4 linked regions of the Coturnix japonica genome follow. The protein of the gene in region 3 interacts with the protein of the main gene of each other region in a pairwise test. Links are inferred from orthologs where the notes say so. Each region holds a gene or a part of one and is shown on either strand. Other genes may lie near its edges. The genes, in order: NCK2, ARMC7, CPSF7 and SMAD3.

Evidence for each region.
Region 1: the proteins of CPSF7 (region 3) and NCK2 interact in binary tests that used the Homo sapiens proteins (3 or more experiments, as listed by UniProt). The two-hybrid records come from large-scale screens. The link is inferred for Coturnix japonica from reciprocal best matches to the Homo sapiens genes CPSF7 and NCK2.
Region 2: the proteins of CPSF7 (region 3) and ARMC7 interact in binary tests that used the Homo sapiens proteins (3 or more experiments, as listed by UniProt). The two-hybrid records come from large-scale screens. The link is inferred for Coturnix japonica from reciprocal best matches to the Homo sapiens genes CPSF7 and ARMC7.
Region 4: the proteins of CPSF7 (region 3) and SMAD3 interact in binary tests that used the Homo sapiens proteins (3 or more experiments, as listed by UniProt). The two-hybrid records come from large-scale screens. The link is inferred for Coturnix japonica from reciprocal best matches to the Homo sapiens genes CPSF7 and SMAD3.

Annotation. Positions count from the first base shown.
Region 1 is NC_029516.1:122,088,828-122,092,390, reverse strand, and holds part of NCK2 (cytoplasmic protein NCK2), read right to left. Parts: intron 3,313-3,563; coding exon 3,118-3,312; 3' UTR 1-3,117. UniProt on the Homo sapiens protein: Adapter protein which associates with tyrosine-phosphorylated growth factor receptors or their cellular substrates. Maintains low levels of EIF2S1 phosphorylation by promoting its dephosphorylation by PP1.
Region 2 is NC_029533.1:9,330,664-9,334,447, forward strand, and holds ARMC7 (armadillo repeat-containing protein 7), read left to right. Parts: upstream 1-1,391; 5' UTR 1,392-1,514; coding exon 1,515-1,581; intron 1,582-1,659; coding exon 1,660-1,803; intron 1,804-2,264; coding exon 2,265-2,602; 3' UTR 2,603-3,234; downstream 3,235-3,784. UniProt on the Homo sapiens protein: As a component of the minor spliceosome, involved in the splicing of U12-type introns in pre-mRNAs.
Region 3 is NC_029520.1:295,639-299,124, reverse strand, and holds the end of CPSF7 (cleavage and polyadenylation specificity factor subunit 7), read left to right. Parts: intron 1-555; coding exon 556-964; intron 965-1,046; coding exon 1,047-1,165; intron 1,166-1,256; coding exon 1,257-1,425; intron 1,426-1,502; coding exon 1,503-1,671; 3' UTR 1,672-1,676; intron 1,677-1,765; exon of another isoform or gene 1,766-1,818; 3' UTR 1,819-2,927; downstream 2,928-3,486. Other genes in the region: TMEM216 (transmembrane protein 216), read right to left, coding at 3,402-3,417.
Region 4 is NC_029525.1:17,036,028-17,040,371, forward strand, and holds the start of SMAD3 (mothers against decapentaplegic homolog 3), read left to right. Parts: upstream 1-1,540; coding exon 1,541-1,746; intron 1,747-4,344. UniProt on the Homo sapiens protein: Receptor-regulated SMAD (R-SMAD) that is an intracellular signal transducer and transcriptional modulator activated by TGF-beta (transforming growth factor) and activin type 1 receptor kinases.

The sequences.
Region 1 (3,563 bases), on a different chromosome or scaffold from region 3:
AGGTCAAAAAGGCAGTAAAACTTGCAGAAACCTATCTTAATTAGCAAGGACTGGGAACAACTGAAGACCTATTAATGAGCCTGCTGAATAGACTGCATGTTGATTAAATACGGAGTGGGCAAAAACAAGATGAAGCTTGTTTCAAAAAAAAATAATTCAAGCTAGTTGTTCATAAGGCTGGATCATAAATTAACGTTAGTTACTGCTTCCAAACAAAATACTCCAGTGGTTGGCGCCTCTATATTCAGAAGCTGTTCACAAGGCAAGAGGTGGAAGAAAAAAATAAAAGGATTGTAAATCCCTTAGAATATCGAGCATATGGTAAAAATCTCACTTGGAGGTCTATTTGATTTAGTTCTAATCTATCAAGACTAGAAAGGGGTTCGGAACTTTCAGTGGAAAAAAGAAAAGCAAAATAGGAAACGCACAGCAAGAGGCATAGAAAGACTCTTGGAACACAAAATACAGTGAATGTTTCAGAAAAATGAACATGGGGCAACATGAAAGAGTAACTGTAGTTGTTGATTTACTGAAAAACATTCCCACGTACCACTTTTTGAAACACTACAAAGAGGCAATGGGACTGAAAAGCAACTCACTCCGAACTGAAAACACACAGCATGTAGTTGGCTTTCTTAATGTCTTTGTCATACTCAAGGTACATGCTTACATTGAGCTAAATGAGTAACTAGATATTACACAGCAAAAGCCCTATGGCCTCTGCAGAACTCACTTAAAAGGTTAAGAAGAAACCAACTGTGATGTCCTGGCAAGAAGGATGTAAACAAGGGGCACTTCTCAGCAACTCCATAATGAAAATTTCTCTGCTCCCATAATCTAGCCATGGGTATGTTCTTGCCAGGATGAAGAAGAGTGATTGTTCTGGTCTGTCTTATATAACTACCCTTATTCACAAAGCTGGACCATGCAGAAGTTTCAGTGCCCGATTTTTGTTTACCCACATACAGTTGTTAATTCATACACAGTTCTAATCCAGATAATCTCACAGAAATAAGAGCAGCTGTGGAAGAATAACATGTGTATAACTCATGAAGTTGTACGTTGGTTGCTCTGAAAGTAATGCCTCGATTTACTTCCATCGAAACTACCACAGATACAAAGAGCACAATAACACTATTTGATAGAACAAATTCTCAGCTACAAAACACTCTTTTTCAACAGTCATCACCATCAGCTATGCATTTTTGCCAGCGATGAACAAGAGCCTGCATGCCACACTCATAAAAATCTGCATGGCCATCCAGAACATGGCTTGTCTTTCATGTTGCTGTCACCACTGCTGAAATGCACCACCCACCGCCTCACTGTGCTCACATCCACTGTCTGGTCTCCATTAAGTTCCAGCAAATGATGATGAATGTCAATGGGTGCCATTTTTTTCTGCATGGAGGAATTCAACTAGACACCTTTGTTTCATACACACTTTCATGTCAGACATCATTGCATCAGAGTGCTGCCATCTGTCACACAGCAGCAAAATGTTACAGAATGTTGGTGGGAATGCTCAGCCCCTACTACCGTCCTACTAATATCCACCTCTGACTTCATAATAATAAATAGGAGACATTACTTTCAGAGCAGCCCTCAGCTGGTGCTTGTTCTGCCTACACTGGAGTTATGCATGTATCACCACTGGCTGAAATACAAAAATCTGTAAGGAAGACTTAATAGCAAAAAAAGGTCCCATAAAAGAGCTCCATCTTGCAGTTTTCATTAAAGCTATAAACAAATCACAGAGAGAATCAATGTGGAGCTCATTAGACACCGCCTCGTATCAACCTGAACTCTGCAGTGGCACATATTTTCTTTGTAGGCCACACACATTCCAAGACAGGCAAATTCAGAATTTACTCTATTTGACCTTTCTAAAGCCACGCCAGAACTACCACCCAAGGATAAACCCAGTACTCCATCATGACATAATACCTTTTTTATTACAATATCCAAAAAACTGAGTACGCAAGATTTTGAGATCTCAAGATCCCTTCTTCAATCTCAGGAGTGTGCCATCTAAAGTCTGTATATTTAAACCATAAAGGAGTTTAAATGTAAAGAAAAGAGAAAAAAGCATTTTCTTCATAAACATTCTGTGTGTCTCTTCCTACCAATCACACCACCCTCCATAAAACCTGAAGTTTCCTTTCTGTAAAGCAAATATATATATAGTGTTGGTAGCCCACCCCACCCTGTCCCCTGATCAGTTTTTATTAATTTTCTGTATTAGTGTCAACAATCAGCTACAGATACATATTACTTTGAGAATTAAATACATAATTGTTTAATTCAAACAAGCAGAAGGGCAAGAGGAAAAAAGCATTATGTGGATGGCACATTTGGTTGTAGATTACCAGAACATTCAGTCTTTACAATTCAATGATTCTCTCTTTAGTAATCAACTTTCAAATAAAATTTCTCTTTGTTGCAATTACAGACCAAAATACACTAGATAGTTTTCTTTTACTACAATCTTACCATAGTAGTTTAAGAAGTACTATTACAAAACGCTTTAATTAGTGTACTCTTTGCAAAGAGTCAGAGAGGCAATGTAATAGCAGAGTACAGTGTAAAGAGTGCTTCTAGGAACTAGGAGTTTTTGTAATATACTACCTGGTAAGCAATATAGCTACAGAACTCACAGCCACAACTGTTATGTCTACTATATCTCACTTACTTAGCTGCAGCCTCAGTGCATTCAAACTGTGCCCGATGTCTCTTAACAAAGAGTTCTGTCTGTCTGCGTGAGCAATTTGAACAGGTTAACACTGGGTTGAATTGCAAACCCCCCTCCTTTATCCGAGCTAAGTATGTAAACGTACACAGAAGAGGGGAGTTTAGAACTCGGACATGGAAGTGAGTGCTTACAATGGCCACAGAGGTGAACTTCTCAACCTGAAGGGAGGTGATCTGAGATTAACAGAACTGAAACACAAAAGTAGGCAAACGAAAAAGGACAAATAACAACCAACAGAGCAAACACGTTAGAAAGAGCCTACTCTTTAAGCCTGCTTCGGATATTGCTCTGCTCTATAAAAGTGATTTTAGGACCTAAGGCTTGGAAGTTAGAAGGGGCCTGGGTGGCCAAGTCCATCTTCATCGTCACTGAAGTGCTTTCACAAGATATAGCTTTTCCCCGTGTTCACTGGTGAAGATGGGTGCCTTTTTGTAGTGTTCCACCAACTCATCCATAGTATTAAAGCGACGCTGCCCAATACAATAGACATTGTCCACGAGCTGCACCTTGAAATGTTTGTTCTTCCCCGATGCTTTTAGAGATACCGAGAAGTCACTGGGCTGTTGGGAATAATTCAAAAAGAAAAAGAAAGAGTTACATAAAAGTGAACAAAAAGAAGGCACAGTATGGTGGTTTCAAGAACAAACTGAAATACAGCTGACAGCGTAATTTGTGTTAGTCTTTGTTCCACAGCTCAGTGCCTCAGCTACTTAAGAAACCCAATAGTCTATTATTCAATAAATAATTGCCATCGTGCACAGTTAAGTCATTTAAGTGAAGCTCCCCAGATGCATAGTCTGAAGTTGCCAAT
Region 2 (3,784 bases), on a different chromosome or scaffold from region 3:
TAACCCTCACCCAGTCCCCTCACACTCTTTCCTGCTCCCTCTGTCATTAAATGTATCGTTAACTTTGCGAGCTAAACATATTTTGCAACAAGCACCTTTTCCTACTGCTATGAAACATTCACCAGGAAGTTCATTTGAAATATTGCAAAACTGTGAACCTTATAAGACTCAGATAGTCTGCCAGGGTAAATCTTGGAAAACTTTAATTAAAAACAAAACAAACAACAAACAAACCCAAAAGGTCACGGCAAACTTACGTACTCTAAAACACCTCAGAACTGCAAAATCACTCAAATGAAGAGTTTGGCAAAATTTGCAGACCCAGTCAGTAACTGCAAGAAAAGAAACACACCCACCAGAACCTGAAATTGACCAAATTCTAACTCTGTTGAGATATCAATGGGCACCACTGTCATTAGACTACCCCTAAGGCTGTTAATACCACAGCTATGCTCAGGCAGCCTGTGCAACATGGACAAAATATGGCCCACATCACCCGCACAAACAGCCTGAGCCAGCACTGCTGCCAAGAGATGGTTGTGTACGACCAGGAAAACTTCCTGCAGCATTGCAGCACACGGTGATGATCAGATGCACTCAGTCATGTAAGCAGCACGAGCACAGCCTGCAGCCCTTACAGAACATCTCTGCAGACCACAGACCTGGGAATGTTACCAAACTCTATGGGACAGCTCAAATTAAATGCACAATGTTCCTCACATCCGTTAACCAGCCTGGATTAGACTCAAAACAAGATAGAATCTAGAAGCAGCAGAGCACGCAGCTCGCAGTGAGGTGAGCAGCAGCGCTGCAGTGTGACCCGCAGGGTGCAGCTCTCGGGGATGCACCACCCGACCAGCACGGGCTGTTCCTAAACGCTGCTCGCAGTGAAATCACTGCAGGGGACAAAGTTCCCATTGGTTTTGTGCTTGCAAAATCCTACTGACTGCCCACACACACACACGGTACCTGGGAACTCAGCGCTGCATTTTCCTCCTCCAATGCAACGCGCTCCTCCCCTTATTGCTCAGTCCCACTGTCCTCAAACACTTCTGTCGGTTTGCTTCTCCTTGTTTGCTTTCTCTTCTCTGCCCTTCTCACACCAGCCCCGCTCTGGTCCATATTAGTAATGACAGATGTCGCTTCAAGTGCACTAACACAGTTACAGGCACGAGAAGCACACGCGGGGGTGTAAATTCTGAGGCCTGGGGGGCAAGCAACCAGGTGGCAGGGAAAGGTGAAGAACTGTGCAGAACAAAGGGGGGAAACGATAAAAACACGTGTTTGCCAGATACAGAGTGCAGCAGTGATATGTGCCTTCACTTATTGACGCACATGAGCTGCCCACAGCCCGCCCCGCACGCGGAGCGCAGCCAGCAGCCGCACCGCCCACAACATGGCGGCCGGGGAGTAACGCCCACAACATGGCGGCCGCCGGTGTCCGGAGCGCCCCGTTGTGCCCCGTGCCGGCGGCGCGGTCCAGCTGATCGGCTGGTTCTGGTTCTCAGCTCGGGATGGAGCTGGGCAGGTTGGAGTACCTGCAGGCCCTCGTCACGGAGTTCCAGGTGACAGACAGCCCAGGTAACCCCGCGTACAAAAGCGAAATCTCCATCTACCACAGCCCCCCTTGCCCCGTTTGACGCGTTGCTTCCCCGGCAGAGGCCAGGCGGCAGGTGCTGGCCAACCTGGCCAACTTCGCCTACGACCCCAAGAACTACGAGTATCTGCGGCAGCTCCAGGTGCTGGACCTGTTCCTCGACATGCTGACGGAGGACGACGAGACCCTGGTGGAATTCGCTATGGGTGAGCACAGCGCTGGGTGCGCCCCGATGCTTTCCCTGTTTCTCTAAAACACAGGTAACAAACCGGGGAAAATGAAAATAAACGCTGCAGCCACACGGCGCCATAAATGCCATCACTGCACTGAGATGGACAGGAGAAAATAAAAGGCAACGTAGGGCAATTAAAAACCCATCATTTAATTCCTGGTACCTTGAAGACCGATTGCCCCCTTACCACACAGGGAAACTGTCTGTGCATGTTGCCTTAAGAAAAGTAGTAAAGATGGAGTGTCCGTCTGCGGACAACTCAGTGCCGGCACCACACAGGTCAGGGCCCAACTGCTGGTACCAACAGACGGAACGTGCTCCAGCTGCTGCCATTCATTCCCAGATGAGGTGCCCTTCAGAGCATGGAGTGTGTCCGGATGAGGCTGCAGAAAGAATCTGTCTTGCATGTGTCAGATGCTTTTTTCGCTATTTCAGGTGGTCTTTGCAACCTGTGCTTGGATAAAACTAACAAAGACTATATCCTGGAGGCCAATGGGGTAGAGCCCATAATAAACTGCCTCTCCAGCTCCAACGAAGAGACAGTCATGTCAGCAGTCACAGCCCTGATGTATCTGACAACGCCGCAGTCGTGCCAGCAGACCACAGCTCTCCCGGTGGTGGAATGCATGCTTCGCTTCTCCCTGTCGGCCAGCAGAAGGCTGAGCAATCTGGCCACGATCTTCCTGGAGGATTATTGCACGCCCCTGCAGGTGGAAGAGGCCAGGAACCTGAGCAAACACACAGCGGTGGGGATTCCTCTCCCGAAGGATTGAAGCTGTCAGAGCAGCTTGGAGCTGCTGCGAGGAGCACCCCCTGTTTGCTCAGGTCTGCACCTAATGCTGAGTAGGTCAAGAGTGTGATGAGAACAGTAAAGCAGGAAATCAGACTAGCATTGGATTTTAGTTAGTATTGAAAAGGACCATACAGCACTATAACAGGCCAAGAACGTGGCTGAAAATGGAAGCAAATATTTTAAATAAAAAAGGTGATGGCTGCTGTGCAGCTCTGAACCAGCTTACAGGTATAACCCTTATAGCAGTTACTTTCTCTGCTCGGGTTATTGTTCAGCTTGTATCACTTCCAGTTCCTGGCTGATTTTGCCACAGCTTTCCAGTGTCAACTCAGATGACTTTGAAATGACCCAAACTTCATCCCTCCTGCAGAAGAAATGCGTTTCCCTGCCCTGGTAATTTGCAATCCTATTACATACCTTTGGTACTATACATACTGTCTTATCATCCTGCCCTAGAACAGGTGATAGCTATCCCATAGGTCAGGAAGCAGAAAGCTGTATTTCCCTCATTACCACTGGTGAGAAAGGTGCAGGTAGGAAAAGGGTTTATGGCATTCAGGTTCACAAGAAAAGCCTTTTCTTAATAAAACATTAACGGAGCTGTTGTGTAAACAGTTCTGTGTAAGCTCGTAAATGTTCCTGTACAGCTCTTGCAGCGCAGCCTCTGCTGCTCCCACTAATGCACGTGGGCTGGGAGTTGGAGCCACTTTGCTCTCCTTTTATGATCAGCCAATCGTGCAAAAGGTAACCTGGAGCCAGGGCGGCAAACTGCCCAAAGGCATAGAACGGGGTGGCCCTTTACCACGGTGCTTCTGAAAGGCTGCGAGTTCCAGAGTTCTGCTTTCTCCCCCTCCACTCAGCTCAAAACACGCCATAGTGAGCTTACACCACAGCTGGCTGTTTGTCTTTATAGTTATTCTTCATAACATCACTGCGGCTCCGGCCGCACCAGGACGAGGCACCGTGAGGTGAACCCCGCAACCCCCGCATGAAGCCGAGCGGCCCCTGGCGGCACCACGGCCCCGAGTGGAACCTCCGGCCACAAGCGGGTGGAACTGCCGGCCTGGCCTTAGTGCGGGGCCAGGCGGCTCCGCTGTGCGCTGCGGGAACCTTCATCGGACGGCTGGGCGCGCTCCAACTGCACTCAGTGTTTAGGAGCTGT
Region 3 (3,486 bases):
GTTCGGTGGCCAGGGTTTGTGCACTTTCAGCCTCCCTGAGTGGTCTTGCAATGGGCTCAGCAGCTTTCCCAGAGCTCTGTCCCCCCTTTTTTCCTCTCCCGGCTCGCCGTCAAAGCCTCATCCTCAATTCCTGCCCTTCTCTTCTGAGGCAGTTTTCCTTCCTCCAGCTGTCAGCACTTGGGTTCTGCCCCTGCATCCATGCTCGTGCTGCCTGCTTGAGCAGGCTGCAAGTGTTTGGGGCTGTTTCATACCTTCAGGAAGCTGGGCTCTGGCCATCTCTCCCCATTTCTTGTGGCTTTTCACTTCTATCCACGTCCCTGCTCGCTCTGCGGCCAGTGAAAGCAAGCATCCTTGGGACGCTGTGCAGGTGGCCGCAGGTGACCCTGTTGGAGAGGCACGTGTAAGCGGAGGTTACGTTTGGCTGGCTGGATCTGTCTCTGGGCACCTCAAGCTTTCCCGAGGCTGAACCTCGCGCGTGTGTAGGGAGGAAGAGGTCAGTGAGGGGCAGGCAGTGCCTGTGGCTGCAGCTCACTGCCCTTCCCATGCCGCTTGCAGGTGTGCCGCCGAGGGCCCACTCACGGGACTCCGCCGACTCTCTGGATGGCCGTGCCACACCGACAGAGAATGCGCTGCCGCCCACCCGCCTGGAGAAGCCCCCCTCCATCCTGCCCTTCTTCAACCGCCCCCCCACTGCTCTGCCCCTCATGGGACTGCCCCCGCCTCCCATGCCCCCTCTCCCACCTCTCTCCTCCAGCTTCGGCGTCCCCCCACCACCACCCGGCATCCACTACCAGCACCTCATGCCCCCTCCACCCCGACTGCCCCCACACCTGGCCGTGCCCCCCCCTGGGGCTGTCCCTCCAGCCCTGCACCTCAACCCAGCCTTCTTCCCCCCACCCAGCACGGCCGTGGGGCCCCCACCAGATGCCTACGGCAAATCCTTGACCCCCTACAACCACAGCAGGTGAGTGGAGGGTGGAGGGGGGCTTGGTGCCAGCAGGGTTGGGAGGGAGCTGCATTGAGCCCCCAACCCTATATCTGTGCAGCCGGGAGCTCGGTCCACCACCTGCCCCTGTGAGTGAGGTGGAGTTTGAGGAGATCATGAACAGGAACCGGGCCATCTCCAGCAGTGCCATTTCCAAAGCAGTGTCGGGTGCCAGTGCAGGTAACGGTGGCTGTGTCCCTGTGCCCCGTCATCCCCTCAGCCCTGAACCTGCAGCTTGCTGCATCCCTCACCATTCCTCCACTTCCCACAGGTGATTACAGCGATGCCATCGAGACCCTCCTGACAGCCATTGCTGTCATCAAGCAGTCCCGCGTTGCCAACGATGAGCGGTGCCGCGTCCTCCTCTCCTCCCTCAAAGACTGCCTGCATGGCATTGAAGCCAAGTCCTACAGCACCAGCTCCAGCAGCAGCTCCACCAGGTACCCTGCCTTGGGGGGGTTGCGTGGCTCATTGGGGTCTCTGGAGGTGACCAAACGTTCTTCTCTTCTTCCCCCAGGAAAAGACACCGCTCTCGGGATCGCTCTCCCAGCCGGTCCCGTGATAGCAGTCGGCGGCATCGGGACGTCCTGCATGGTGAGGATCGGCACGAGGACTATTTCCAGGAGCGGAACCGGGAGCATGAACGGCATCGGGACAGAGACAGAGAGAGGGACCGGCACCACTGAGACAGGTGAGCCCAGCGGCGGGACGGTGCTGTGCTGATGGCTGAAGATACCCGGTGCTGCAGCGCTGCCCTTCCTTCTTTTCTCTCTCCTGCAGAAGTTTGGCAGTAAGTGGTTTTTAATGGACTCGTATCTCCTCACCTCAACCAGGACTGCGCCACTGTGGCTGCTTCACCCCCTGCTCACCACCCACGGCTCTTTTGAGGCACCTGAGGGACTCCTTGACACCTTGGGGCCTGAGCCCTTTCCCACACCCACCGCTACTGCTGCTTCCAGGGGAGAGGCTGAAAGGCAGGGGGCCCTGCTCCATCAGTACTTGGACCCAAAGAAAAATGGTGCTTTATTTTCACGGAGGGAGGTTGGTGAGCCCTTTCCTCTCGCAGCCCTCCAGGAGTGGCTGCAGGTGGATGGATCCTCGGGCGCACAGGGGCTCAGTGGCACGCAGCTTTCCATTTCAGCTGGAAGAGAGCTGGGCTGGGGTCACCCCCCCTCCGCCCCAACTTTCACAGCAGGGTCACAGCCTCCGTGTTCATCTCCCAAAGCACCAGCTCTGGCTTCCAGGAGCTGGTGGGGCCTCACGACATCATCCTCTCCCATAGAGCCTTCCTTGTTTTAGAGGAAGCAGAGGAAGCAGAGCTGCAAACCCCAGCCTCAGCGACTGTATGTCCCCTTCCCAGCAGCATCTCTGTGTGTGATGGTGCAGTTGCAAGCTGGGACGGGTGGCAGGGACAAGGCCACGAGCTCCCTATGCCCAGTGGAGTTGCACAGCACTGTGCACAGCCATTTTGAAGCCCAGGAGGAGCTCATAGCCCTATACAGGTCCATTCAGCTAAGGTTGCATGCTGGAGGAGCTGAATAGGTTCAGGCAAACCAAGGAGCCCCAAAGCACCAGCCAGCCCCCAGGGATGCCAGCTGGGTGGCATTACCTTCAGAACTGTTGCTGGACAGGAGAAAAACCCAGCTCCACAGGTCTTTGTTAGGCTACAATCACACAATGAATTCCATCAAGTACCATCAGGTGAGCACTGGGGGGAAGCATTTGGTGGGTGAGTTCTGTTTTTGTTGGCTTTTTTTTTTACGTAACAACACAAATTTATAGTTTCTTTCCAATTAGTGTGGGGGGGAAAAGTGCAGAGAGGAACCTCTATTAAGCACCCGGCGAGGCGCTGCCCCCCTCTGCCCGCAGTGACTTAGGTTTGTTTGTCTTTCTGATAGGTTGGAAGTTGTGTAATAAACTTGATGACGTTGTCAGTCTTTTATATGGAGCTTTTCAAGAGATTCTGGTGGGGATGTTCAGGGGATGAAGGTGTGGATGGGCAGCAAGAGCCAAGCACTTCTGTAACGCCCCCCCACCCCCAATCTTCCAGCTCTTCCTAAGGGCTGCTGTGCCTCCCATGCTGGCTCAGGGGCTGGCTGTGGTAATGAGGTGCTCTGGCCTGGGGGGATGCCACGTGCCCAGGCACCAGATAAAAATAACTATTTATTGGAAAATAGTGATTTCTTCTTACAACGCTGTAAAAAAAACAAATTGTCTGTACCTTGGACTGACCTGTGTGTCACAAACCTCGGGGCTGGGTGGCAGCAGGGTGGGTGCTACCCAGGCACAGCCCTGGCACTGCCCACAGGTGCCAGTGTGGGTCTGGCTCACCACCACAGGCTGGAGATGGAGCCTGTGCCACCTGCTTGCTGCCATCTCGTGTACCTGCGCTGCTGTGGTCCTCTGGTGCAGGGCCTCAGTATGCATCCATGCTGCAAAGAACAGAGGAGAGGATGTGTGAGGAGAGGCTCAACCAGCAGAAGGCTGTGCTGCTTCTCAGT
Region 4 (4,344 bases), on a different chromosome or scaffold from region 3:
TGTACCAAATATTGATATTTCAGAAGTTGGTACTGTCAGTTTGGAACAAAGGGCACTGTCTGTTTTTAAACCCCTTGTGAAAGTCAGGCCAGTTGCCTTTGAGCATCAGACGCTGTCTGAACCCATAGGTTCCTAACTTGCCACAAGGCAATCCGTATAGCTGGCTGCTTTGAATCTGTACACACAGGGAATTTTGGATGCTGGCTTTCGAGGAGTCTCCCCACTGGGTTGTACTGGAACCTGGAACTGGAGAACGTGGGTTGGCAAGAGCTGTAGGTGTCTGGGAGCTGCCGAGCAGCCCCGGAGGCTTCCCAGATTCCGCTCCCCATCATCCCGTCTGGGAGGATGGAGGAAGCTGGGAAGCATTTCTCAACTCAAAACCTCAGAATTTGGGCCTTGAAACTTTCACCCCCTGTTCCTGGATGGCTGTTGCGTGCAGCTGGAGCGCAGAAAAGCGAACTGGCCTCGGTGGAGGCACCCGGTGACTCTGCAGGTGGCCCCAGGCTGCTGTGTGCTGCTCAGCATCGTTTTGGGGCGATTTACCACAGGATCGGAGCACTGAGGAGCTGCTGTTTGTATCTGGGTGGGCTCCCTTTCAGCATGAGGGGGCAATGCTGGAGGCCGGGCAGCGGCCCTGTCTGCCCAGCAGTGGAAAGGGAGGAGCTGGGCATTCACCTGGATGCCGTCCTGAGTTAGTGCAAAACAAGAGCCTCTCTGCAAAGCACCTAGAGCTGAACACACAGCGGCTCAATGACCAAAATGTTCCGTCTGAGAATTTCTGACCAGGTCTGGTGGTAAACAGGCTCAAACGACACACTGGAGATGATACAGGGCGAAAATTATTCGGGTCCCCAGTCTGCAGAGTGGGAGGATGAAGGAAGAGAACAGTAAATTGAAGGAGTTGAAACTGCTGATTGTCCAAGGCTGACTGAGCGGTGCTCAGCTGCGTGGAAAGACGTGCGGCACTTGTTTGTGTTATTTTTCTTCCTTTTTCCACAGAAAACAGCCAGGGCTGAGGGTCCCCACGCTGAGGGGGCCCTGAGGGTCGCGCTGTGAGGTGGGAAGGCCGCGCCGCTCAGGGGACGCCTTTCCCGGCGCCGTAGCGGGGCTGAGAGCGGAGAGCCGAGAGCCGAGGGGCCCCAGCCCCGAGCGAGGAGGGGGGAGCGGAGTTCCCGGCGGGCCGGCCGCCTCCCCGCCCTCCCCCGGCGGCGTGAGTGAGCGTGTTTGGGAGGGAAGGAGGGGGTGGAAGCCGGGCCGGGGCGGCCAGCAGGCAATTTGCATGAGAGACAGACTGGGAATGAGCTGGAGTGGGCGCCTCTCCTCGCACACAGAGCGGGGCAGGAGGGGGAGGAGGAGGGAGCTGCCGCCGCCGCCGCCGCCGGAGAGAGGCGGCGAACTCCGGGCAAAGTTTGGTGCCGCGGCCCCGAGGCGCTGAAGGCGGCGGAGCGGAGCGGAGCGGGGCCGGGCTTTGTGCTGCCCGCGGGGCCTGCGCGGCGCGGAGCGGAGCAGGGGGCGGCGGGGCGCTGCCGGCAGAGCCAGCATGTCCTCCATCCTGCCGTTCACCCCTCCCATCGTCAAACGGCTCCTGGGCTGGAAGAAAGGAGAGCAGAACGGGCAGGAGGAGAAATGGTGCGAGAAGGCGGTGAAGAGCCTGGTGAAGAAGCTGAAGAAGACGGGGCAGCTGGACGAGCTGGAGAAGGCGATCACCACGCAGAACATCAACACCAAGTGCATCACCATCCCCAGGTAGCGGCGGGGCCGACGGGCCTGGGCGCCCGCTGCGCCCATCCGAGAGAGTGCGGTTACACGGAGGAGAAAGTGGCGGCGGGTGGGAGCGCTGTGTAATAACGGGAGAGGGAGAAAGTGCGAGGGGATGAGGGCAGAAAATAGGGCTGAGATGAAGAGAAAAAGTTGTGGATAACAGCTCTGCGTGTTGTGGGTACTCGTGGTCAGAAGTTTCAGCGTGTTCTCCGGCGTTGTTAGGGGAAGATTTGTTTATTTTTGATAAACTATAAGCAAAATGGTTTGTTTGGGTCGCTTGCTTGTTTCCATGTTAGCTGGACAGACGAAGAGGTGATTGAGAGCCCTGCTGTGTGTGTGTTTTCCAATCGCTTTTTAGATTGGGAACACAAATGGCATTGCTGAAGGGGATTGTTCCAAAGGGTGAATATAACCCATGTGCATACATACTAAATGTTGTGTTAACGTAGATTTTATTTTTAGCCTTCATTTTGAGCTCTTTGAGCCCATTGTAAATCATGAAGGACGTGTGTGTAAGTATCCCATCAAAGGAAAATCCTGCCCGTAACTTTCAGATCTAGCTGGCCACAGGCGGTGCTTTATTGCTGAGGGTTTGTTGATTTCAGTGTGCGGGGCCAGATGACTGCTGGGGCTGGTATTGGTCGTTGTTTGAGGGGCACTTTTTTGGTTGTTGTTTGAAACACGGGCCAAAGTTCATTCCAAATATTTGAATGCTGCATAATTGTGTGCTTCTGCGTGAGAAGATAGCTGTGTGTGTGTATTCATGCTCCTCTCTCGCGCAAACAAATGTATGCTTTCTTGGTTGTCAGAATGATTTAATATGCAGTAGCTAATACAAAGCAGCATCTGTTGCATGAAGAAGTGAAGCAAGTAGCTTAGAAATGTGGGCATTTAGAACTCTGAAATTTTTCTTCCAGTGACTGTAGGGCTTGGGTTTTGTTTTTCTTTTTCTTTTTTCTGTTGTTCTGGCTTTTGTTTTTTTCAACAACAAAAAAGAATTCTCCTGATATTCTAGTGCTGAATGACCGTGGCTGAGATTTTACACTGATACAACCAGCCCCTCGCCTTTATTAGTTAGAGTTATTCAGGCTTCCTCTTCTAGCTGAAGAAGGGAGCTACGCGTGCAGAGCTGCCCCTGGTAACAAACGTAATATAACCTCTATTTTGAAATTCTTGGTAAGCAGTGTGGATCCCTCACAGATAGTGCCCTATCTAAACCACTTCCCTTAAATACCTCTTCGGAAGAAGAAAATGACTTGAGCAGCCCTGCTGATATGACTCTGGTACTGTGCCTCATTGCTGATGAACAGAGCATGAAGCCTGTGGATGATTCTTTTACTAGCAACAAGGTGTTGTAGCGTAAGGGAGGGAGAGTTTGGTATTTTGTGATTCAAAGGAAGCAAAGAGATGGGTGCAATAGGATGCTTCAGTTGAGCAAAATAATTGTGAAGCTGTAAAATAAGTAACAATGCGAGCAGATGTCACAAGTCGTAAATATTATCACCTCCAGAGATGGTCCTGGAAGAGCCTGCTGTGCAGAAGCTAATGCTTCTCATAGACTGTGCTCAGCTATAAGAAAACCATGCAGGAATTATAACATTTCATACCCACTTGTAATGCAGAGTCTGGATCCTGTATGTCCTAAACCTCGCTGCTTGGGGAGTATCAGCATATTTTGACACCAGCTCCTTTGGTCTTAGTACTAGATTTTTAGAGTAACACTTCCTGTGTACATTTGGTATTGTTTAATACAGGCATTACAAAGGTGCAAGTGGTGGTTGTTAAGTTACTTTGTTCTGGGCCCTCAGCAGCAGCACAGTGAGGGGTTGATACTTAGGTATCGGAGAATGGGGGTGGTGGCAAAGCTGGAGCAAGGTCTGTGACTTTGGGCTGTGTCCTCTCCTCTGGGCTGTGCTGTTTGTCCTGACGTATCTACAAATCTGGTCACCCTGTCACTCCAAATTAGCATTTTCAGGACAATTCTAGTGTGGTTTCAGTATTTTCTTTAAAGTTAATGCTTCGTATCTTGTTTTATTAGTTAGGTAAGTAAGTATGTTGAAGGGAGGCGAAAGGGGAAAAAACATCATTAAGGATTAGATCATGGTGTGCATTGTCTGTAATGCATCAGTAGGCTGAATTACGGTGGAGCCATGCCAGCGATGACTCTGGCCCAGCAGGAGTAGGGTAAGTCCAAAATTAGCTATTGTATCCATGAGACACAGCAAGTTTCAGATGTAAAAGTGCTCAAGCTTTGCAGGAACATTGCTTGTGGGACTAAGGGCTGTGCAGCAGATGAGCTGACAGCTTCAGGTTCCTGTAGCGACAAGGTGAGGCTGAATGCACAATTTAAGAAAGAACAAGGAAAATGAATACGTCATACACGAATTTTTGTTGTAGGACTGTGGAATTAGAAGGCCAAATTTGTTCCTGTTGTCACTTCTATGTGATGAATTAGTTCACAGATGGATTGGCAGACACACCTCCAAGCCCAGGTTCCAGTTGGAAGGACAAGTGGCATACAGCAGAAGGCTGGAGAGACCCTCATGGTTCTTAGCAGAGCTGTTGGCAGGATTCTTTCCTTTT